Linked DNA regions of Oryzias latipes. The protein of the gene in region 1 interacts with the protein of each later gene in a pairwise test. Links are inferred from orthologs where the notes say so. Each region holds a gene or a part of one and is shown in the gene's direction. Other genes may lie near its edges.

Region 1 (5,925 bases):
CCCTTGGGAGGACTGCAGACAAACTTTACCAACCCCATCTGTATGGCCTCCCTCCCCGCCTGAATGTTGACTTCTCCGTGCAGCCTGGTGGTCTGATGATCGTTGGAAATGATCCAGGAGAAGAGGCTGCAGAGCTGCTTTAAGAGCGGAAAGCCATGTTGCTCTTAGGAACGTGGGTTTTTGCTTCAGTCGCTGTAATGGCACCACATTGGCTGCGGCGGGTTTCCCTCCAGGATGCAGCCCCTGCCCCCCCCCCCACACACACACACACACATGCACACACTTGTACTGACTGTTAAACTGATCTTTTCCTTCTGTGGAATTCCAGCTGATCAAAATACGTTTTGATATGTTTTATTCTGTTTTGATGCAGTTTTTAACCTGTGTCATTTAGCACTTTATGTTTTTTGTCTTTTTTTAAATAAAGTTAGCTTTCTTGCTTTCTCAGGTGTGACTCCAACTCCTGCACAGAGGACTTTCCTGTGATAGTACTGCCAGAAAGTTCTCCATCTCAGAGAAATTTAGCCTTAACCCCAGAGCCTTCTGGGTAAGCCGCCCCAATACATCCAAAAATGCTTTATTTAGAAATAAAAGCACGCTCGAGTTTCTAACCTTCCTACTGGCCGGCCTCTCTCAGAATGGACCTCCTGTCTCCACCCTCGACCTTCCACTTTCCCGTATCAGGAGGAGAAGGTCAGTCTCTGCAGAGGCACCGCTCCACATCCACCCCCAACGTCCACATGGTCAGCACGGTGGACCTCGCCAGTGTCAGCATCATTGAGGTCAGGCTGACCGCCGATGTTCTGAGTTCATTTGATGTGGTTACTGAATGTGGATGGTAACTGTCTCTCCTGTTTTAGGAAGCACTGAAGTTCAACACAATAGGTAAAACTCCTCCATAGATCCCTGGGATTTCATTCCCTTAACTACGTTCTTACTTGAGGTGATCTGGCTCTTGTTTTTTGTAGGTCCCGAACCCTCACCCAAACCCTCCACCAGTCCGCCCTCTTTTCTTGGTTCTCCTGGGAAAAAGCCTCCGAAATCCCCCTCCGAACACAAAGAGCGCAAACCTTCCTCGTCTGATGACAAGAAAAAGGTGGTAGGTGGTCTTCAGCTTCTTAAGGATGTTGTACAGTCGCTTACTTACTTTGCACTAAAGCAGCAAAAAATGCATAATAAAGAAGAAAAAATCACATAGAAGTCGCACTTGTGGGAGAAATAACAATATTTTAACAAAATATGGGAACAAGAGCAGACATTTCATCTTGAAAGGCAAATTAAAATAACACAAGAGATGACAATAATTGTGAATATAAGCATGCTTTACTAGCATAACCTTATTCATGAAACACAGGAGGACTCTAGTCTATTAGCACAACATTTGAACAATTATTCAGACAATCAAATAGAACATGCTAACAAGTTAATCAAATCACTTAATCTGTTGAATTCTTCATCCTCTTTGTCACTTTGGAACAATTCTGCCAAACCCGGTATAATACTGATGCACACACTTACCGTGTCCTCTAGTGGTTGTTGCTGCTATTATTTATTTTTAAATCACTTCGAAGTGGCACCATCCGTCTAACTATGTAGCTTAAAAACGCTACTTATACACCGAAAAATACAGTAACTTTGTGATGCTGCAGCATCGAGGCAACAGGGACTCCAGTTACTACTGGGAGGTCCACTCTCGAGAAGTCCAGATCCAGAAGAGGATAGGCACCGGCTCCTTCGGGACAGTCTACAAGGGAAAGTGGCACGGCGACGTGGCCATCAAGATCCTGAAAGTGAAGGAGCCGACACCTGAGCAGCTGCAGGCCTTCAAAAATGAAATGCAGGTTCTACGGTGAGCAGCTCCGACACTCCTTCACCACAACAGATGAAGGAAAATCAACGTTGTCCTCACAATGAGCGTTGTTTTTACCTCTGACCGTGTCTCTCCCCCGCAGGAAAACTCGCCATGTCAACATCCTGCTGTTCATGGGATACATGACCAAGCCCAACTTCGCCATCATCACGCAGTGGTGTGAGGGCAGCAGCCTCTACCGCCACCTCCACGTGTCGGAAACCAAGTTTGACACCATGAGGCGCATTGACGTGGCCCGACAGACGGCGCAGGGCATGGAGTAAGAACCACTGTCACGTGAACACGCTGGGTCGAGCTGTCTGAGCTGCACATGCATTTCTGTTCCAGATTTTTGACTTTCTGTCCTTTTGTGTCCCACTGCAGTTATCTCCACGCCAAGAACATCATTCACCGAGACCTGAAGTCAAACAGTATCCCTTTCTGGTTCATTGGGTCTTTACATTTGGGTGTATGGAGGGCTTTTATGTGAAACACTCAGGAACTGGAGCAGAGTTGAAAAGCAGCTGCCAGTCGGCTGTGTTCTCACGAACGTTTGCTCTGTTGAAGCTTTTCCTGAGCTCCGCTGCAGACATTTTTCTCCACGAGGGCTGGACCGTAAAAATAGGAGACTTTGGTTTGGCCACGGTGAAGGCTCGATGGAGCGGCTCTCAGCAGGTGGAGCAGCCCAGTGGATCCATTCTGTGGATGGTGAGCTTGTTTCACGGCCATGAAGGCATGAACAGCGGATTTTAGCAGGACCCATCCTACCTTTGGTTCTGTGTCCTGGTTCATTGCCTTCACAATGTCTGCTGATGTTCCGCCTAACGCCTCTGTTTACGGCTTGTGTTCCTGTCAGGCTCCTGAAGTGATCCGAATGCAGGACAACAACCCGTACACGTTCCAGTCGGATGTGTATGCGTACGGCGTGGTGCTGTTTGAGCTCATGTCGGGAACGCTGCCTTACTCCAACATAAACAACAGAGACCAGGTGGGAACCTGCACATTCCTGCCTGCTGTCAGCTCTTCAGGCACACGCGATCGATTAAAACACTGTTTGCTACTGAGGTTATCATTAAATCCTTTCTGTGAACAGATTCACACCTTTAGGCCAAACCTATTGTCATAAAAACGCTGTATTTTTTTTTTTGCGGTTATGCGTACATTCTCGCGCTCCTACATGGTGTTTCCTCTCTGAGACGTTTTCTCCGTCCACCTTCCCAGATCATCTTCATGGTGGGACGTGGGTACTTGTCTCCTGACCTCAGTAAGCTCTACAGCACATCACCCAAGTCCATGAAAAGGCTCATCGTCGACTGCTTGAAGTTCAAGAGAGATGAGAGGCCTCTGTTTCCTCAGGTGAGAGCTGCACTGGTGGCTGGAGGAGAAACACACTCAGCTGCACGTCTATTGAACTTAGCAGTTTAAGGGTCCCGGACGAACCATAACGTGGGGCCCTCTGCAGCCGTTGGATGAATCATTGTTAAAAAATGATAAAGTAGCTAAACGTCCGGCGAATAACTTCTTCACTGGTCTAACTTTTAAATGGCTTCAATGCCAGAAATCCGACTGTTTTGATAGACATCTGTCGTGAAAAACCTGGAACAGAAAAATGAAATCTTCTGTAAAGTTTAGGAAGTCATGAAACTTTGATATTTTGGATCCAAAAAACATAAATAAAATAGTTTAACATGAGTTGAATTTAAATTGCAGCCAAAGTTCAACCTCACTCTATTGGTGATGGGAGTTTACGTTGCCGTAAAGCAGTTTGTTGTCGTCGGTTCAGTGTGTGGCGCTTTCAGCTTTCTGTTGTGAAATGCTACAAAATGCCGGCAATTGTAACTTTACCAATGAGTGGCTTTTCAAGGAGAGGTGTCAGCTGTGGCCACAGAAAGACCCTGAAACACATTTGGCACCAGAAACGTGCAAAATGCAGACTTTGCTTCAAGTCCTTCGACATCAGCATGACATCAGCATGACAGAGGCCGGGCTGGTGAGCGTCATGAAAGGGCCAAACACGCTGGGCTCTAACCTCACGTGTTCATGAAACCAGAAGATGAGCTGCAATTAGAAGTAGAAAAGCCACAATATGTCCGTGTCGTAGACATGTTCCATTTCATGTGTTTGTCAGGAAATCACCCGCCTGGTTTGCTCTTTCTACTGACTTTATCCACAAACATTACAGAGTAAAACGTTGGGGAAGTATTAAACATTGACTAGTATGAGCAGTTTTATTGATATTGTTCATGAGTCAATCCTGACAACAATATCTGTTACAAAGCTGCAACGTCTTTGGGTGACTTTGTCAATTGCGTCATAATCTTATTCTGATTTTTGCTATAATTAATTTAGAATTTGCTTTGTTTTTTGTAAAACTACAACAGTTGTAGTCCTAAAGCGAGGAGATCAGGACGCATCTAAAACTTGCATTACTCAAACACGCTGGTTCACTCGGAGAGAGAGGAATGATATAAACGGATTTCTGTGGAGTTTGTTTGAACAATAAACTGTAATGAGTTGTTGTGATGATTTTGAGGTGATTTATGGTGAGTTACTGAGAAACTGCTATTGTTTGTCTGGGGTGTTTTCCTGTACTTGATTGACGTTCCTGCCTTCCCTCTGCAGCTTCGCATTAAGGCAAATTCCGGCTGTAACTCGTTTTCTGCATCACCACAGACAAAAATAAACAGTACAAACCAGTCAATAGAACTACTTCCAACGTTTTACTCTGTAATGTTGGCGGATAAAGTCAGTAGGAAGAATAAAATAGTGATACGGTGATGAGCACATAAACAAAACGGATCATGTCTATGACACGCACACTATGGCTTTTCTTCTTTTTTGAATTCCTTTGAATTTGTTCTTTTCCTGTTTTGTCTTCCTGCACTTTTGGAAGTGTGGCAACAAATTTCTTCTTTCCTTCTTCCCTAAACTACACTTCATCTTACTACTTTTTTTGTAAATCTCCTTCAAAGAGTCTCTTTCTGCTCCTCAACTTGCTGTTGATGGAATAGTCCATTCCTGCAGAGAGACGGGGAGGAGACAACACTTTTACACGAGCAGGCTTATGCCACATCAGTGATTTGAGTTTTTTTTACGACAGAGTTGAATATTAAAGGGTGTGGAAATTATTTTAGACATTTTTTTATTCAGTGTTTAGCCGAAGGGCAATCGGGAGCCAGTTTAGCTCGTGCTGGTTTGCGGCACCTTCCGTCCGTGACACCAGGGTTCGAATCCGGGCTGCTCCCTATTCCCTTCTCTGCTTCTGTGCCGGTCCCAAGCCTGGATAAATTGAGAGGGTTGCGTCAGGAAGGGCATCCGGCGTAAAACATTGCCAAGCTAACCATGCGACTCTTCCTCGAAAGAGAGGTTGTTTCGCTGAGGCTCCCCTTGATGGGAAAAGCTGAAAGAGACAGAAGTTTAGCTGAAGGGCAATCACCTATCTTTGCCTAATGGTAAGTCCACCCCTGGCTTTCGGTCAAGACGAGCTTTCTGCTAGAGAATGACACTTAATACTTCATGGGTTAAATTTGTTTGAGCCTTTTTTGTTTTCTTTTTAAATAAGACAAGAAAAAAATCTGTCACGTTTTGTGACTCGTATAACTGGCTCTGGCAGTCTTTTCAAGGTTCACACCAGCAGGTGGTGCTGTTGAACCCTTGAAACTTCTGTAACTTTTTGGATTCATGTAGATCTTCAGTTTTACACTAGGTGTTCCTAAAATCCAACGCACTGATGTAACGGCATTTCAGATCCTAAAATAAACACAATAAAAGCAGAATAAAGCAGCAGTTAAGTTCTGAGAGAGTGTGTCAGCTAACACAACATTCCTGCTTGGAAGTGAGTGACCTGTCTTTGAAGTATGGTAACACCATAATGAATAATAATAGATACTTTATTTATCCCATACTGGGGAAATTCTTCTCCGCATTTTACCCATCCTCTGGGGGAGCGGTGAGCTGCAGCTGAACGGCGCTCGGGAGGCGGTAGCGTTAAGGGTCTTACCCAAGGGCCCTCACTGGGTGATGTTAATTGTTCACCGTTGATATGGTAATTTCCCCCGTACCATTGCTCATTCTCC
Region 2 (5,925 bases), on another chromosome or scaffold:
TCATCCCAGAGGGAGAGTGAAAGTGTTGCAGCGCTCCTCAAAAAGGCCAAAAGCCTTTTAGGAGTCAGCACTGAGTGGAGCTGCTGCTGGTGGGAGGGATCCTCTGTACCAGTCAGAGCTGGACCTTCTGCTGTCCTGCATACCAGAAAGCTGAAAGCTGGCTTCATAAAACAAAGCTTTAATTATGTATATCAATACATAGATTCATATCAATCATGCAAAGTTTTGGGGAAAAACTGAAAAATACAATGTGGGAGAAAAGCAAAAGTTTTTGTGTTTTTAATCCAGACTAAAAGGATCTTTAGGGAAAACAGAATAAGTCTGCCAGCAGGTTTCAGCCGGCGCTGAGCCTTCAGCAGTGTCGATGTGGGGGGGTGAACATGGCCAGGACTGTTTCGCTTAAAGGCACGGATGTTTGCTGCATGCAGCAAACAGGTCCTGACTGACATCTGCAGCTCCACTGTTTGCTAAACAAGGATTCGTATCAAAGTAATCCGTTTGCATGGATCCATCATAAACTACTGGTTAACCAAACAAGATGAAACGTTAATGACAGTCATAGAACATCGGATGGGCGGAGACTTGTCCTCCTTCATGAACGGAACCGGAGCAGCTGTTTATTTCTCTACAGAAGCCAGGGGGTACTTCCTGTTACCCTTCCGGTTTGGATCGCTGGGAAGGAGGGGGTCACTCAGTCAAGATCTAGGCGACTAGTTGTCCTCCCGGAGAGATTTGGGGGTGGGGGCGTGTTGAGCCGGTTTGTTAGGGAGGTAAATGACCATAGGTGTGGTGAAGCCATGTCTCTGGTGGAGGAGAGTCAGTCTGAACACTGATCAGCTTTCAGTGTGAGGGGGTGGAGCCATTGACCATTGACCTTCACTGTGGTATGGGGGGGGGCTAACTTCTTCCTGAAGTTAGTCTTCAGTTGAGCGGTTGGACGTTGGCTGCCGTCAGACAGACAAACACAAAGGTTAGCGTTTATCTCCAGACGGTCCTAAGGCGGTTCAGGAAGTCCCATTCTAACTCTGAGAGGAGCTGCAAACACTGAAAGGGTCAGAGGTTCGGCTGTGTCCACAGCTGTTTAGACCAGCTGGACTTTGTCTCAGAACTTTGACCAATTCTACCCTCATGATGCCGTGTTCTCCCTCTACTGCAGCTCTAGTTGGCAGGAATCAGCTGTGTTTATTCTTTCATTTAACCAGATCACCAGTTTTTCTGCAGACAGTTTTTACAACCTGTGAGCCGTTATCTGAGGTCAGTTCTTCATCCTTGCCTTTAGGTGGAATTATTTCAGTGAGAACATGTCTACCGGACCCAAACGACATGCTTTGTCCTTTCTAGAGATGAATTCTATGATCACATGCTGAAAGGCTTTTTGCGGTCAGTCAGCCTGTAAAACCAGGGATCATCAATGGTCACCATTAGGACCCATCCACCTACGGCACCACAGCTGGCAAATGGTCGGTAGCTCTGTAAGATTGATTTATCGTGATCTGCAGGAAGTTTCTTTAGGTCACCAACATTATGAAGAATTCTAAAGGCTAAGCGGGAAGTCTGTGAAGATGGCGACGGATGAACCATCAGTCAGTTTGTGGTCTTCAGTGAGGGGCTCCAGCTCTAAAATGAGAAGGGAGGGGCCGAGAGAGTTTAGGGAAAGGCGTGTCGGCACAGGGTCAGGGGGTTACAAACGGCCCACGCTGGCTTTGATAAGGATCTGTCATCATAGTGAAAATACATCTAATGTAGAGGACAGCCCACAAGCTTTAACGAGAACATGGAGGGGCCAAAACTGTCTGTGCGTTTGAAGGCAATTGAGTTGCTGTTTACACTGGTGTGGTGGGCGTGTCACTCGGTTAGATGGTTCACCTGTTCACTCGGGTGGAATGAACACCAGTCGGCGCAGGTGAGCCTGGGATGTACACCATGTTGACCTCTTTTGACGCTTCAGGCATCGCTTTCTCATGACCTTTCTCATGACCCTTTACATAACCACAAATGCTAATAGTAACGACTGAACAAAACAGCTACGCTTAAGTAAATCATTTTCTAAACACACAGACATCTGCACGCGTCATCAACGGCGACTCGCAGCAGAACCTTTAAATGGAGCAGACATGTAGCGGCTACACAACATAAAGTCCAACAAGTGCAAGAACATGACAGCAGTTGAAAAGACTCTGTTGTGTTTGTGGTTTCAAAGCGAGTTCAGACCGACGAGTTTCGAGTGAGGATGTGAAAAGAGCGGGAGATGGTTCATCTCTGGGGTGTGAGGGAAGTGAGTCCCTGAGCGAATAGAGGAAGAGGATCTAATGAGGCTGAATGAAGCCAGTTCAGGTCAGTAGGATCTGAAAGGCCCAGAGTGAAAGCAAAAGCTCTTTATCTGTTTGGTTTACAAGCATCACAGTGACACAAATGCAAATTGGAAGAGAGATCAGAGGTCAAAGACAACCAAAGAATGTAAATCGGAGACGAGCTTAGTGACCCGAATGTCTCTTTCATACCGAGACCCAGTGGCTTCTGCGAGGAGGAGGTCCTCAGCCAGATCCACGGAGCTCAGGCTCTTCAGGTTCTCACCAGAGGAAAAACGGGCTGTGAGTGGGACCCTGGCTCAGCCTGATCCAGATGATTCCAGTAAAGGTGAAGGGGAAAAGGGAGGATTTGAAACGGAGACAAAGAAATCAACCACTGAGCTGTGGAGAGATGCCAGTCAAGATGGTCACCAACACGTCAAAGACCACCAACATGTGGCCTTGGGGGCCTTATATCTGAAGGAACAGCTGGTAGATTGGAATGAAACGCCATCCGTTTGGTTGATCTTTTTCAGATGGGAGTCTGACCTGAAGACTGGAAGAGTCTGCCTTTAAGAGGCAGACATTGAAAGGAGGTGAAGGATCTGTTGTGAAAGGGAACCGTGGATGCAGGTCTGACTGAGACTTTAGCAGCGGGACATCACTTGGGCGGGGTGAACAGTTCTCCTTTTTAGACCGGGACCCAGCTGTAGGTCTGTCTGGACCAGCAGGCAGGTCCTGAATAATGACATCTGTCACACTGTTGGTTCTTTTGACCGTTTGAGGCAGAAAGGCCTGATGACGCGTTTCCGTTACAGGTTGTGTGTAAACGTGTGTGTTTCTGGTTCAGATCCTCAAACATTAGGTCACTGGAATGATGATCCGGAGCTGACAAACCTTTAAAATGCTTTTCATCATGAAAGTGTGAACAGAAAATAAACCCCCCCACTCCAATGAAAGTCATGTTTTTAGCATGTTCTTGTTTTACATACATAAAAGATTACACAGCATTTCTGAGGAATTCTTTATTCAAAACAGGATGAATCAGGAGCTGATTTAAAAATAAAAAGCCGTTTTGTGACACAGCATGTGCAAGGGGCGGGGCCAAAGTCCCATTTCTGATGAACTCCTGCCACGCGGCACAAACTATGTCCCAGAAAATGACAGGTCCTAATCATCGTTAACATATCACCAAAAACAGATGATCAGAGTGGGACCTGAAGGACTGGATATGAAATGGGCGATAACTCGTCACAGCGAAAGAAAAGAGGAAGTTCCTCATTCCTCCTTCTGCAGTGTGATGGTTCTCATAGAAAGGCTGTATAACAGCTGCCCTTTTGCCCTTCCTGTTAACGTGAACTGCTTCCTGGAGTCTCTGCTGCTGCCTCATCACATGCCTGAGCAGAAAACACCTGTCAGATCTGGCTGTCCTCTTCCAGCCAGGCTGTCAGGCTGTCTGATGGGAAAGATGGGGACGGGGGTCATGGGGTCATGCAATAACAAAAGCATGAGGTCGTCTGCATGGACATGGTGTTCCTCAGGGTAGAAACACTCTGACGGTGAAAGGAGGCTGGTCTTGATCATCGACTGTAAGGGAACTGGACTGAACGAGTGTGACATCATCCATAGAAAATGGCTTACACAAGTCAGTACGGACGCCGCCGTGTTGGAGTCAGATGACATCACTGAGCAGTGATTGGTCAGAGTAGGGCTGAGTCATCATTTCTATGGCAACCACGCTGGCCAATCCTAAGTGAGCTCATTGTAAGGCCACATCCCTACCACTTGAAATCGGGCTCGTCCAGCATTTTGAACGTTGGACGTGGGGGACAGCAGGCTCCACCTACTTTTACTGAGTCATCTGATTGGTCCGATTGTAACTTGAACTAAAAAATAAATCATTCAAAAGGAGGATCATCAAGAAGGTACCAGATCCAGAACGGTTCTTCTGACCAATAGACCGACTGACTCACAGCTGTTTGTTTCGCTATAGACGTCTGTGGGATTTTGACTTCTTGGAGACACTTCCTGTTTGGAACGCCGGGGGGGGGGTCAGAATGACTCCTAAAATGATGCCATCCATTATAAAACCGGATGGTTTCTGTGCCGGCATCATCCTGTTAGGAACTACCAGCAGCTGATACTGATGACCAACTCTGGGCTTTTGAAGTATTACAGAAACTACTGATCAGATATTGATTAATATGGTCAATCAACCAAAACCTTTGATCATTTCTAATTTAGTAGAAGCTAATTTGGATGCATTTAAGTGTGCTGGGACAGTCATTTCTAAAGTTTCCATCAGGGAATCATGACATGGATACAGCCGTGAAAAGGAAACCCAGCTTCTCCTGTGATCCCAGAGTGGATTTTCCAGCTCATCGCTGAGTATCATGGCTATCTGCATCTGTAGAATTTGAAGCCACATTTACACGCTGTTCTTTCCACAGTTATCATGAGGTCCAGAAGTTTCACACCCAGATCCTGAGAGTGAAGGACCGAGACGACTTCCCCATGCTCCTGGTGGGAAACAAGGCCGACCTGGAGCAGCAACGAGTGGTAAGGGAGTTTCTGTCTGCCCCTCTGGAGACACGTAGAATCCAGACACCCCCACTCCAGAGCCAAAGTCCAGTCAGAAAAGAGCCTCTTCTAGAAATGACTGATGGCCAGACCTCTGTTGTGTGGCACACAGAAACGAGCGATGAACACCAGAACATGCTGATCTTGTTTGTGTGCAGATCTCCAGTGAGGACGCCCAGGCCTTTGCCAGAGAGAACAGGATCCACTATATGGAGGCTTCAGCCAAGAACCGCTACAACGTGGACGAAGTCTTCCTGAAGCTGGTGCACATCATCAGGTGGAGCCGCACTCTCATGAACTGAGGTCTTTCTTATTGCTTTGGTTCAGTTTGTTCATAAAGAGCCAGTTGATTAACACAAGGCCAGAAAAATCACACCAAGTGGTGTGATTGCAGACGGTATGATCCAGTTTAGTCCAGATGATTCCAATCCTGAGATTACCAGACGATCTACGGATTACATGGAAGCATTTAGGGTGGAAGCAAAGGACGGCAGTAGAGAGGAACACTCCCCCCACCGCGATGTTGGAAAGGAGGAAGAATCCAACTTACATCTGAGTCACTGATGTCAAAGAAAACGTAGGTGAAGACCCCTTGAGGAGACTGCGTGGGGGGCGGAGTTTCAGGGAAACTGGGACTGTACGGCCCGGATTCAGACCAGACCCTCATTTGACGCCCCGCAGCATCATTTCAGAGTCATGGAGACATTCCTGGATCTTTCTGGCTGCCTTCCAGAAGCTTCCATGGAATGTGAAGTCAAGCAAAAATCTGGAAAAAATCCAATGTCAACACTTTGCATGGAAAATACCAAATGATCGGAATTATTTAGAGATCTGAATGAACACGAGGAGGCAGCATTTGTCTGATCCCAGTCCCAGTTTTAGACGGGATTCAGCCCGGACACGTTTGGTTCGCTTAGAGTGAGCCAGAGTTTGTTTCCCCCGATAATCTGGAACAAATGTCCACCCAAGTGGACCAGGAACCGCTCTCTGACCCATCTCTGGAGGTGGTCTGGGTTAGTTTCCTATCGGACGGAGGTTCGCTTCGCTCTGAGATTCC

Evidence for each region.
Region 2: the proteins of araf (region 1) and ras-related protein R-Ras interact in a two-hybrid assay, tested with the Homo sapiens proteins (2 studies listed by BioGRID). The link is inferred for Oryzias latipes from reciprocal best matches to the Homo sapiens genes ARAF and RRAS.

The regions. Positions count from the first base shown.
Region 1 is NC_019867.2:28,415,839-28,421,763, forward strand, and holds part of araf (serine/threonine-protein kinase A-Raf), read left to right. Parts: intron 1-448; coding exon 449-547; intron 548-637; coding exon 638-782; intron 783-860; coding exon 861-885; intron 886-968; coding exon 969-1,099; intron 1,100-1,649; coding exon 1,650-1,849; intron 1,850-1,952; coding exon 1,953-2,129; intron 2,130-2,233; coding exon 2,234-2,280; intron 2,281-2,438; coding exon 2,439-2,557; intron 2,558-2,705; coding exon 2,706-2,837; intron 2,838-3,070; coding exon 3,071-3,205; intron 3,206-5,925. UniProt on the Homo sapiens protein: Involved in the transduction of mitogenic signals from the cell membrane to the nucleus. May also regulate the TOR signaling cascade. Phosphorylates PFKFB2.
Region 2 is NC_019866.2:25,002,066-25,007,990, forward strand, and holds part of ras-related protein R-Ras, read left to right. Parts: intron 1-4,738; coding exon 4,739-4,847; intron 4,848-5,026; coding exon 5,027-5,145; intron 5,146-5,925. UniProt on the Homo sapiens protein: GTP-binding protein with GTPase activity, likely involved in the regulation of MAPK signaling pathway and thereby controlling multiple cellular processes. Regulates the organization of the actin cytoskeleton.